Linked DNA regions of Nothobranchius furzeri. The protein of the gene in region 1 purifies or fractionates together with the protein of each later gene. This does not show direct contact. Links are inferred from orthologs where the notes say so. Each region holds a gene or a part of one and is shown in the gene's direction. Other genes may lie near its edges. The genes, in order: npm3, nepro and rpl6.

The links.
Region 2: the proteins of npm3 (region 1) and nepro purify together in Homo sapiens (affinity purification with mass spectrometry; 4 studies listed by BioGRID and IntAct, with this or other methods). This does not show direct contact. The link is inferred for Nothobranchius furzeri from reciprocal best matches to the Homo sapiens genes NPM3 and RMP64.
Region 3: the proteins of npm3 (region 1) and rpl6 purify together in Homo sapiens (affinity purification with mass spectrometry; 3 studies listed by BioGRID and IntAct, with this or other methods). This does not show direct contact. The link is inferred for Nothobranchius furzeri from reciprocal best matches to the Homo sapiens genes NPM3 and RPL6.

What each region holds. Positions count from the first base shown.
Region 1 is NC_091752.1:22,151,273-22,155,025, forward strand, and holds the start of npm3 (nucleoplasmin-3), read left to right. Parts: upstream 1-1,236; 5' UTR 1,237-1,410; coding exon 1,411-1,483; intron 1,484-1,622; coding exon 1,623-1,708; intron 1,709-1,884; coding exon 1,885-2,004; intron 2,005-2,080; coding exon 2,081-2,174; intron 2,175-3,753. UniProt on the Homo sapiens protein: Plays a role in the regulation of diverse cellular processes such as ribosome biogenesis, chromatin remodeling or protein chaperoning. Modulates the histone chaperone function and the RNA-binding activity of nucleolar phosphoprotein B23/NPM.
Region 2 is NC_091754.1:12,629,950-12,633,702, forward strand, and holds the start of nepro (nucleolus and neural progenitor protein), read left to right. Parts: upstream 1-858; 5' UTR 859-946; coding exon 947-1,031; intron 1,032-1,221; coding exon 1,222-1,376; intron 1,377-1,455; coding exon 1,456-1,544; intron 1,545-1,678; coding exon 1,679-1,807; intron 1,808-1,962; coding exon 1,963-2,040; intron 2,041-3,189; coding exon 3,190-3,491; intron 3,492-3,753. Other genes in the region: tex30 (testis-expressed protein 30), read left to right, coding at 181-345. UniProt on the Homo sapiens protein: May play a role in cortex development as part of the Notch signaling pathway. Downstream of Notch may repress the expression of proneural genes and inhibit neuronal differentiation thereby maintaining neural progenitors.
Region 3 is NC_091757.1:55,600,677-55,604,429, forward strand, and holds the start of rpl6 (large ribosomal subunit protein eL6), read left to right. Parts: upstream 1-1,597; 5' UTR 1,598-1,794; coding exon 1,795-1,944; intron 1,945-2,040; coding exon 2,041-2,139; intron 2,140-3,327; coding exon 3,328-3,471; intron 3,472-3,753.

The sequences.
Region 1 (3,753 bases):
CTGATTTTTGTACAAAAGCTTATGTATGATTGCACATTTACTAAATATCACCTTTTTTTTACTTAGTTTTCTTTCAAATGGTTAAAATTTCAATTTTCTTTTTTTTTTTTAGAACAAACCCTAGACACGTTTACCTACTGGGACCAACATATTCAGTTATTTTATGATTTCTGCTTTTTGTTTCCTGATTATATTAAAATAATTTGAAGGGGCTACAATATTAAACCGTTATACAAAGTTCAGTTCTTTGCTGTGACTTTAAGGCCTGGTTGTTCAAATAAACAGCTAACTTTACCTTCAGCCTGATGTGGTTAGTTAAAGAATCATTAGTAATCATTAACCTCACGATAAATGAATATTAGTTCAGACTAGTTTTACACAGATCAGTGCAGATACCGTTCATCTGCAGCTTTATAGGTTTAACCTCATGTTTAGGCTTTTCCTGTGTTATTGAATGTTTTCTAATCCAAATATTTAGTTTGGGTTTAATATTCAGTACATTAAATCTAAATTAGTTTTCTATTGATTACAGTAGATAATCAGACACTACCCTATAGCTGCTTGTCAATGTGGTGTTTCAGAGTTGTACATTTCATAATGTGCATGAGGTGTATTTGATCTGCTGTGGAGGACATGAATAAAAATCTCATCTGGTGCTGCATAAAAGAAGCATGCCACCTACAACTAAAAGTATAATGGTGTTGTGCTTAGTCTGTATAAGCTGTCGTATGGTGATGAACTTGTAAATAATCTTTCAAACTGGCATGCAGTCTAACTTTCAACGGGCTGCTTTTCTTGTACACCTGCATCAGCGATGCGTGAAATTTGCTTGCAAATTTTCCCTTTGACAAATTAAATCGATGTTTGATTTCTTTTATGGTTCCTTTTGCAGTATGCTGATATTTGTGCTTTTTTATGCCAACTTGATTTGACAATTAGGAGAAAGGGCTCCTCTTGTACATTTTGAGTTTAGATAGGGTGATTAAAGTAACCGTTTGTCTTTGTAAAATTTCTATGTATAATACGTTATAAAATCAATAAAGCATATTGAGTTGCTACAACAGGTGTCGAGTGTATTGATGGTTTGGGGGGATATTTCTGTATGGTATGGTATTTTATCCTAAAACGTTCTAGTTTATACTGCTTTGATGTGTAAAGTCAGGCTTTTTTATATCAAAAATAAGACCCCACTACGCGTCTAAAACACACTGATAAATTCTCACTAGTAAAGTAATATGTTTTAAACAAATTGTATGACAATTGCGAAACTGGCGAACCAAAACAAATCACCAACCTACAGGCGCATACTGATGACGTAGAGATATGCTATTTATCCGCGACTCCTGTTTTTCGTGAAACACTTTTAGCCACAAACTCTGACCATTTCAGCTGCCGACACGCTTTAACAAAATGTCTTTTAGTGAAGAAGAATCCGTGGAAGTTGGTTTTACTGGTCAATCAAAGTTGGAGAGCTTCTTGTTCAGTAAGAACCATTAAAACTTTTTTTTCGTGCCGCTCTGTTGGTGCACACGTGGGTTAACGGACGCTCCGAACGACACGAAAATGTCTCAGTGTCTCTGCTGCGAGTTTGATTCTTGTTTTTACTATTATTTTATCTTTAGGTTGCGAGTTGTCATCCAAAGTGCCTTTCTACACGTTCCAGGAGGACGAAGACGAAGACCTAGAGCATTTGCTTGAACTCAGAACAGTATGTGCTTCATAAATCTCACATTCGCAGAGTAGCCTCTGCTTGTCTGATGTTAACGTGCATGTGAATTCCACGTCATTCTTAGTTTTGTTTCTTATTATTGTCGCAAATTACCACATGAATCGTCCTCTATGTGGCTTCCAGTTGTGTGGGTTTCATCATCGTGTTTCTCGCAGATCTGTCTCGGTGAAGGTGTTAAGGAGGAGAGCAATGTGGTGGAGGTCACAGCCATGAACCATCAAGGAAAGACCATCTCAGTTCCCATTGCTAACCTCCACATTAAGTGTCTGCCTATGGTAGGTGTGATGTAGTTGCTTGTGAACCACGCAGCTGAAGTCTGCACATCTCTTACGTTGTGTGTTTTGGTTGTAGGTGAGTCTGGGAGAGTTTGAGCTGAGGGCCCCGGTGACCATCCGGCTCAAGGCTGGAACAGGACCCGTTGTTGTCAGTGGGCTACACCTCATTGGTAACTTTTGGTTTATATTATAATTAAATTTGTATTTAATCACTCCGAGCATTCATGTGATCACCACTTAACCTTAACTGGACTTATTCCAGTTGCCTTTATTTGACCCTGTTGAATGATCATGACCTGGATGACTGGGAGCATTCGCCAGCACCACTTAACCTTATTTAAGTTTTATTTTTTTAAACACAAATGTAAACTGTTAAGGGACACTATTTAGACAGCCTTTTCCATTTCTCAGTTCTATTCTCATTTACTCATAAGAGTAAACAAACCTCATTACTGTTTGTTAGTCATTCATTTTTTTGACCAACGATCATGTTGGCAGAGATGGTTTATTTGGATTATATACTTTGATATTTACTTTAAAGCTGGGGCCTGTCGAGTGACGTCATCACAGAGGTGGGGCATATAAGGAAATTTGAACTAAAGCTCCAGCTCCTCCTCTAAAAGGAGCTGAAAGCCACGCCTCATACCTTGCACGAATGGAAAGTGGAGCTAAAACAATAGTGTGGTTTAGCTTAAAGAGCATCTTGTAACTAAAACCACAAATAACTTTTTTTTTTTGCTAATTAACTGTATAATTTTCTGTATAACTGGGTCTTTACAAATGCAATCTTTCTGTTTCTGTGCATTTTTTGACATGTTTGTGTAAACGTGATTAAATCTAGAATCTAGATCTAAAAAAGTCTTAGTGCTGCCCCCTGTGGCAGAACAGCAGCTACTGCATTTTAAACTTGTGATTGACTGGGGCTGGAACTATTTCATGTCATCGGTACAGTCTCCTCCCCCTCCCACCCAGGATGGAAATTCCCCACACTTGGCCATGCCACTCTGTGCTTCCTGGCAACACCCACTTTCATAGCATTTTTCAAATCTTGACTAGGGTTGGAGTTACATTTTCTGATGGTGCGCAGTCCCCTGTTCATTGAAATGGTAGAAAAACATCCAAGATCAAAAAGTTACTTTGGGTGTCCATTTAGGTTTTCAGATAACTAGCAGGTGTTTAAAAATACAAAATCAAGAGAAGTGGGCAGGCTTCTCTAAAAACGCACAGTTTTGGAGTCACATGACACATTACGTACCTTGAGGTAGATGTGCTTTACTGCTGTTATTTTTAGTTGCTGAGGTAACACAGAATCAACTAGTTTAATGATGGTTAATGTTTGTTTATGTTGGGGTTGTACAAACTACACAACACCACAGCAGAAGATAGAGAAGCAGAGGTCAGATCAGATAAACGTAGAAGCGACATGGGCTGGGGCTTTCTATTGGCATTGGTGTAACTGCAGGTTGCCATGTTGGATGGGTCACCAGTCGCCCCCAGTGCATTTATTGGACTAGAAAAGTCAATAGTAATCCCACATAATCTGTTTTCTACAGTACGCCGGCTGTTGAAACGTAGACCGCACAAAAGCAGGCATAGTTATAGCAGGTATAGACAGCACATCACACCCACTCTTAAATCACTGTACTGGTTGCCCATTCAACTCTGAATCAATTTCAAAATTCTGCTCCTTACGTTCAAGTCTTTGAACAGTCAGGCCTCACCATATCTGAGCGAACTCCTCCAGTTTAA
Region 2 (3,753 bases), on another chromosome or scaffold:
TGAAATATGTACCGGGCCTTCATCCTGGTACCTTTTAAGTTCACTTATTCAGTTTTTTATTTGTTTAATTTTATGTTCATTATATCCTAAAATCTATAATTTAGTGACATCATGTATTATTTTATCCATTTCAACTTTCACAATTATATTTCAGTCATTGTATTTACTTATCTTTTTTAGGAGCTTTTCAGTGGAGTACTGAAAGATATAAAAGCTCAGGCTGAAGTTTTATGGATAGCAGGAGGCAGCCATGGACTGAAAGTGAAAGGAAGGTCTGAGGATTCTGTGATGGATGAGATCAACCTGAAAGTTATCAACTGGATAAAGAAAATTGAGTTTAAGTGAATCACTGGAGTCATCTTGTTATTAGTTTGTTTCATTTTCTTGCATTTGTTAAATAAAACACATTGTTTTTATTACAACAAATCTGTTGGTACAGTTTTTACTGGGTGTTAAAACTTTATTATGCAAGCAAAGTATTCACGTTAATTCATTTTCTAAATGTGTGCACATTGCAAGAGCAGAGTTGCAAATATTGCAACATTAAAAAAAATAAGTAGCTCAAGCACGTGGGGATGGCAAACTTGTAAAATTATTTAAAAATATTTATTCAATATTTAATAAATGTTTCCAATTTTACCACATAGTGTATAAATACATTATCAAAAATATCCTTTTTTCTGTAGATTTTAAATATTCAAAATATGTTGAATTTCACTTCAAAATGTCTTAGAAATACTTTGATTTTTAAAAATGGTAAATTGTTTCTGTAACAATTTAAAAAATATAGAAGAATAAGCAAATGTCTTATTTATCTATTAGTTTTATTATTTTCAATTTTCGATTTCAAGTGTCAAACTTGTTTCTGTACCTTTAAATCCAATGTTGACGTCACACACTCGAACACTATTGGCTAATCGGCTTCCGTACATGGAATGCAGAAAGCATGGCTGCGGAACCATGGAACAGGGTAAACATTCCCTTTCCCAGTGCGACATCAAGCGTCCACATACGTCTCACATCAACAACAGGTTTGGCTTTTTAACTTTAAAATAATTACGTGTTTTACTTATATTGTCTGATGTCTCGCGCTCGTTTCAACGCGTAAAAACCGCGCCGATCTCAGCCCTCACGTGTGCGCGCAGGGGTTTTGCGTCGTGTGCTTCGATGGTGACACTCGTGTGTGTGTGTGTGTGTGTGTGTGTGTGTGTGTGTTTCTAGCTGAGGTTTTCAAAACCCTGCAGCGGGAAAACAGCCAAGTCCTGAAGCTTCTCCGCAGCAATATTCTTTGGACGGAAATCAGAGTTCTGTACGAGCTGCTGTACGTTCTAAACAACAGCATGAGAGGCAACAAGACGTTCAAGGGGTTACAACAGGTCAGCACCAAAGCTGCAGAATAACTGTTTTGATGTGGACTTCTTTAGATGTATTTGTCATGTCTGACTTCTCCCACAGGTTGAACAATGTGTAAACAGACTGAAGAACATGAAGCTTGATGCAGCTCTTGAGGATCTTGCAAATTTGTGTCCAACTAAGATTCAAATGTAAGAAGCAAACAACCCAAGGCTCTTCCTTTATAGTTGATGAAACAGGATAGGTCAAATCAAGTTTTAAAATATCTAAAGCGCAACCTTACACAGCTTTTTTCAAACTAATGTTAATTTGTGTGCATTTTTAGGACACTGTGCACCAAGAGCGGTGAGTGCAATGTTCCAAGTCAGCCCACGCTGGAGTGGACCTGCCTCAAAGTCCTGGGAGCCAGCAAACTCCTAAGCTGCACCTTGACCCGCTGCAAAAGAGCCTTTATGTATCCTGTTTTAGAGGATTGTGTTATCTGTGTGCATCATAAAAGTATCGGTGTCATGTCGTTTTTGACTGCTGGCGTCTTAGTTAGGGTTTAGTCTTTTTCTGATCACTTTATTGCTGGGGGGGGGGTTTATCCTTAACACATTTTTGTTTCAGACTCACGAGGCAGCAAATGAAACTGGAGGAGTTTGTGTTATTGTGTTTGGTGATCACCAGCATGCTCAGTCGTTTGTGGTAAGAGAAACTTTGAGAAACTGCAAAATAGAGGCTGGAGCAAATGTAACTCCAGAAAAAGCCATTTTTACTGATCATTTTCGGAGCAGTGCCTCGTGTTAGATTATGGGCCATTCCCATCTGTACCGGGTCGGCCCCAGCCTGGCCCGGTTGATTCCACACATCCTTGTCTTAAGCCCATGTGGACTGATTCTTCCCACCAATCAGAGGCTTGCTCTAATGGAAGGTGTGAATTTGCTGTCAGCAGTGGGTGTGTTAGCCCTGGTCGGCCTGAAGCAGAACCCCTCGAGAGAAGAGGGCTGAGAATGAGCCTTGGTTGGCCCGGTAAAATACCAGGCCACCCAGATATGTAAACAACCTACGCTACCCGGCCCGGGCCGACCCGGTACAGGTGGGAATGGTCCATTAAGCCCCATTCCCACCTGTACCGGGTCGGCCCGGGCCGGGTAGCGTAGGTTGTTTACATATCTGGGTGGCCTGGAATTTTCCCGGGCCAACCAAGGCTCATTCTCGGCCCTCTTCCCAAGGGGTACTGCTTCAGGCCGACCAGGGCCAACACGCCCACTGCTGACAGCAAATTCACACCTTCCATTAGAGCAAGCCTCTGATTGGTGGGTAGAAGCAGCCCACATGGGCTTAAGGCAATGATGTGTGGAATCAACCGGGCCAGGCTGGGGCCGACTGGGGCTACCCGGCCCGGGCCGACCCGGTACAGGTGGGAATGGGGCTCTTGTTTACAACACTGCTGTAGCTAGCGCTAATGATGAACAAGAGCCAACTGATACCAAATGATCCACAAAGTAAAAAGGTCCACACCATTGGGAAAAAAAAATGTTTATTTTTTAAATTTACACGTGCAGTAGCAACAAATCCAGGTCACCATCAGTCTGAAATTTTGTAGCTTCGTTTAACTCCCTCAGATGAGTGTAGGCTGTGCCGAGGTTCACTCTGGTTTTACCTCTATGTTTAGATCTTTTTTGGGCTTTTTATTGGCGAACTGATAGCAGTTTCTGGTCAGTGGAGGCCTACAGAGTTATGTCCAATGTGAAGTTGCTAAAGGTACTGGCTTAAGAACCACTGAAACCAGTTTGAAACCAGTATCTTAAAATGTAAAAACTGTTGAAGTTCTCCTTTTCTGTGCCTTACCAGGGTGATTTTCCGTGGTATCCTGGTTGGGCTCGCCAAACTGTACCCGAATGTCCTGGAACTCCTCAGGGATGTGTCCCAGGCCCAACCCATGCCATACCTCACTGGCATCTCCCTGCCAGCTACTATCGCTGAGATTCTGAGTCCTTCTGATAAATTATTACTGAAGACGCATTGTGCATTTCACTCTCACGTCAAAGATCAGAAGATAAAGCAGCAAAGCAAAAAGAATGTTCCAGATAAAGAGAGAACCCAGGGAAAGAAGAGGAAGATTACAGAAGACCTGGGGGTTTTGGTCAAAAGAGGTATAGTGTCTTGTCTTCTGTTTTACCTGGACTAGGGCTGGGCGATATGGCAAAAATAGAATTTCACGATTTTTCCAATATTTTATCACAATTTCGATTTTATCACGATTTTTTATCCATGAATAGCATAACTTCTATTGCGTATTAAAGAAGAGAAACATTGAATAAACAAACATTTATTCATATTAGGGATAATCAACACAGTGCTAACACACTTATATTTTAAACTCACACCAGAGATGATAAAAGCCCTGAGAGAAAC
Region 3 (3,753 bases), on another chromosome or scaffold:
GATGTGAAATAAAATATAGTTGATACAACTTCAAAGGAGACATTTTCCCAACATAAAACTGTGATAATGGAACACCTCTGCCCAGATTCTTCATTGCAACACTACTAATCTAACTTTTACTGTGTATTTGGTATTAGCTGATTTCTGCAGCACACATCTGCATCTATTGAGGTACAAAGGTTTAGGATTATGTGTGTATGTGCCTAAAATGCCGCTCTGTGTCCAGGGTTGTGTCAGCATTCTGCCTTTAAATGTTGTGGATCACTCCTTTTTTAGGGTCTAGTGTTGCCAGAATCGAGGCGGTTGCATTAACCGATTTTGTACTTCTGTGACGAAACAAAAATGAGAAAATTTAAATAAAACTGTCCAAAATGATCCTGTTGTAGGTATTTTTATTTTTACCCCTGATGTTTTATTTTGATTTCAAAACTAATAACAGAACTTATTAAACTCTGATTAATCTGAGTCTAATGACACGCCACTACAAAAATTATTAACAAATCAAACAAAAGCTTGACATTACAATTATTTTTGTATAAAATAAAATAAAAATCCTTAATTTAACTATTGTTATGAGTAGTGTTTCTTTTTAATAGGCAAAAGCCAGAAATATTCAAATGTTCTCAATAAAAAAACAATAATTTATAACAAGACATATTTTGCGCATCAGCAATAACCTATAGTTTTTTTTTATGTTTTATGGCCTTTTTGGGGGGGCCGGGGGGATAAACTCAGGTTTTTTTTCACAGCTTAAATTATTTTTAAGCATTTTTTCTCAGTGATTATTACATTGATTAAAATAGTCACACAAAATATCCATTTACATAATAGTTTTTTTTTTTTTTGTTTTCTATTTTTGGAACAGGACAAGCGTTCATTAAGTCAACAGTGGTTCATTCGCAGATATATTAACCATTATTAAATTTTAGATTTTTTACTGAAATAGGATAAATAAAACCTCGTGATCAAATAACAGCCATTACAAATAATTTGGACTAACAGAAAAACACAACTTTGTTTAAAGCTGACGTTAAAACGTCAACGTCATCGTCTGGCGTCCTTATATGCGTAACGTCCCCGGATGTCGGTCTTTTTTTCATAGCAAAGGTAAGACAGCCTTGCTTTCGTGTAACGCAAGAAATTAAAATCTGCTTTCATCAGTGTTACTGAATAAAAACTGGAGCCTGAAAATGTTCAGAGATTAAAGTTTACATTTACATGATCCGTTAGACGTCAATATTAGAGAAATTTGTTCACAGCGTTGCTTTAATAAGGAAGAGTTTAGTGCACCGATGCGCATAGGCCGCCGGATAGCTTCTGTCCAGACTGTCGTTACTCACACCGTTTGTAGAAACGTGTCCGTTTATGCTATTCTCTGTTCTCATAGTTTAGTTGTCTTCTTGCTTAATTTTACTCTCCGCGTCAAATTTATAAAGAAATGTGATTAGCAAATGGACTCGGCTAATGTGTTGCTAGCATGTTGCTAACGCTCGTCTTATGCATTTGGTGCCTTTGTAGCTTTATCTGTCATGGTTTACCTTTACCAGAACCGTAGTGAGCCATGTTTTCGTAGTTCTCTGTAACCCGTGCAGGTTTATTTAGTTACTGGCTACCAACAGGGTTAATGTTATGATTGTCATTAGATCAGTTCTGGTGTTGTAGTTCAACACCACCACGGCTCCAAACCAAGGCAGTAGTTGCCCACAAAGTGTAACTTAAGTCTTAAAAACCATGATTATTTAATAAATGATGCTATTAATATTCTAATAACCGTCAACCTGTCTCCTCTGTTAGATGGCAGAGGGAGATAAAAAGAAGGCTGCCAAGAAGAAGCACGGGAGCCGGAACCCGGTTCTGGCCCGGGGCATTGGCCGCTACTCCCGGTCCGCTATGTACGCCCGCCGGGCAATGTACAAGAGGAAAACCAAGACCACCGAGACCAAGGCATGGACGGGTCCTTGTCACTTAATATTATTTGATTCCAAAAGTGTAGGACACAGCATTTGGTTAGATTTTGTATCTTCATTTTCTCATTTTTAGATTGAAAAGAAAGTAAAGACCAGACCCCAGGCTACGGTGGTAAAGACTGTTGGAGGAGACAAGAATGGAGGCACTCGCGTTGTTAAGCTGCGCAAGATGGTAAGTATTCTGTAAAGTGTTGTATTTTGAAATGTTCTTAATTTAGCCCTCTGTGTTAAGCTCCTGGCATCTTCAGGCTTCTAGTCAGTTTAAAACGATGTTTTCCAACCCTGATCCTCAGGGTACACTGTCCTACATGTTTTCCATGTCTCTGCTTCAGCACACCTGATTTCCATATGATATGCATCAAGCGCCACAGATGCCTGTTAGTCACTCGTTCTTTTAAGTCGGGTGTGTGGCAGCAGGGAAACACTGGTGTTTAAAAGGGCACAATGGAAAACATGCAGGACATTGTGCCCTGAGAACCAGGGTTGGGAAACACTGGTTTAAAAGGAAGTGTCATTCTATTACATGATAGTGGATGAAATACAGTTGTCCCACATGAGTGTTCGGCTGACATCACATTGTAAATTGCAAGCTTTTAAACTATCTATTCTGCTCTGACATCTTCCTAAATAATTTGCACACACCGTATGGTCATACCTTCATTGAGTGCGTTTACATACAGCCAGTAACCCATTTAAAACCCGATTATTCACAATAACCCGGTTCCGCAGGTCCATGTAAACACCGCCAAAAACCCGGATATGCTCATAACCGGGTTTTTAAAAAACCCGGTTACTACACCTGGGGTAACCCTTTTCTTTTTTGGTCGTGTAAACGCATACCGGGATATCCTCATCAAAGCGTGTGTTCTGCGCATGCTCTGTTCGCAAGGAATCTTGGTCTTTTGAGTAGCGAGACGTCTTGTATGCGCCAGAACTCCGGAAGTAAACAACAGGTGGGGAGCAACATGGCGAGTTGTGGCACAGCACCACACTTTTGGAGTGACGAAGAAACTAAAGCGCAAACAAACGCGGTCGCTATCTCTTCCGAACTGGGAGACAGGTTGTTGTTTTCACGGATACCGGAACGAGAAGAACCAGAATTGACGCATATTGCGTCTGGACGTAGTCCATACGTCTTAACGCTACCCCAACATCTGCATTTAAATCGGGTTATGCAAGTTAGAGGTAATTCTTTCTATTTATGCTTGTAAACGGGTTATTCTGATCAACTCAGAAACCCGAATACCGACCTTAACCTGATCATAACCCGGATATTGGCTGCATGTAAACGTACTCATTACTGTTTTAAAACATTTGCATGTTCACGTGTTTGTTTAATTTAAATCTGTCGTCCTTGTAGCCACGCTATTACCCAACGGAGGATGTTCCTCGTAAGCTGAAGAGCCATGGGAAGAAGCCCTTCAAGCTGCACAAGAGGAATCTGCGTTCCTCTATCACTCCTGGAACAGTCCTCATTCTGCTTACCGGTCGCCACCGTGGAAAGGTAAGACTCTGGAGCGCACTGATCAAGATGTGATCAGTGGTGCAGAATTGACTGACAAAAGGCATCAGGTGGGATAGTTGATAAATAAAAAGGGTTTTTAGATTGTTTTGAATACATTATTATTTAACAAATGCATTTTCAGACTTAAACTGTATCAGGATGCTGAAGAAATTACCGGCAGTATTAAAAGTTAAAACTTATTTATCCGTTTAATGTCAGTATTGCCTTACGCATGAAAACTATTGGCTACAATAGTCTGTAAAGATGTGGTATCTGAACAAA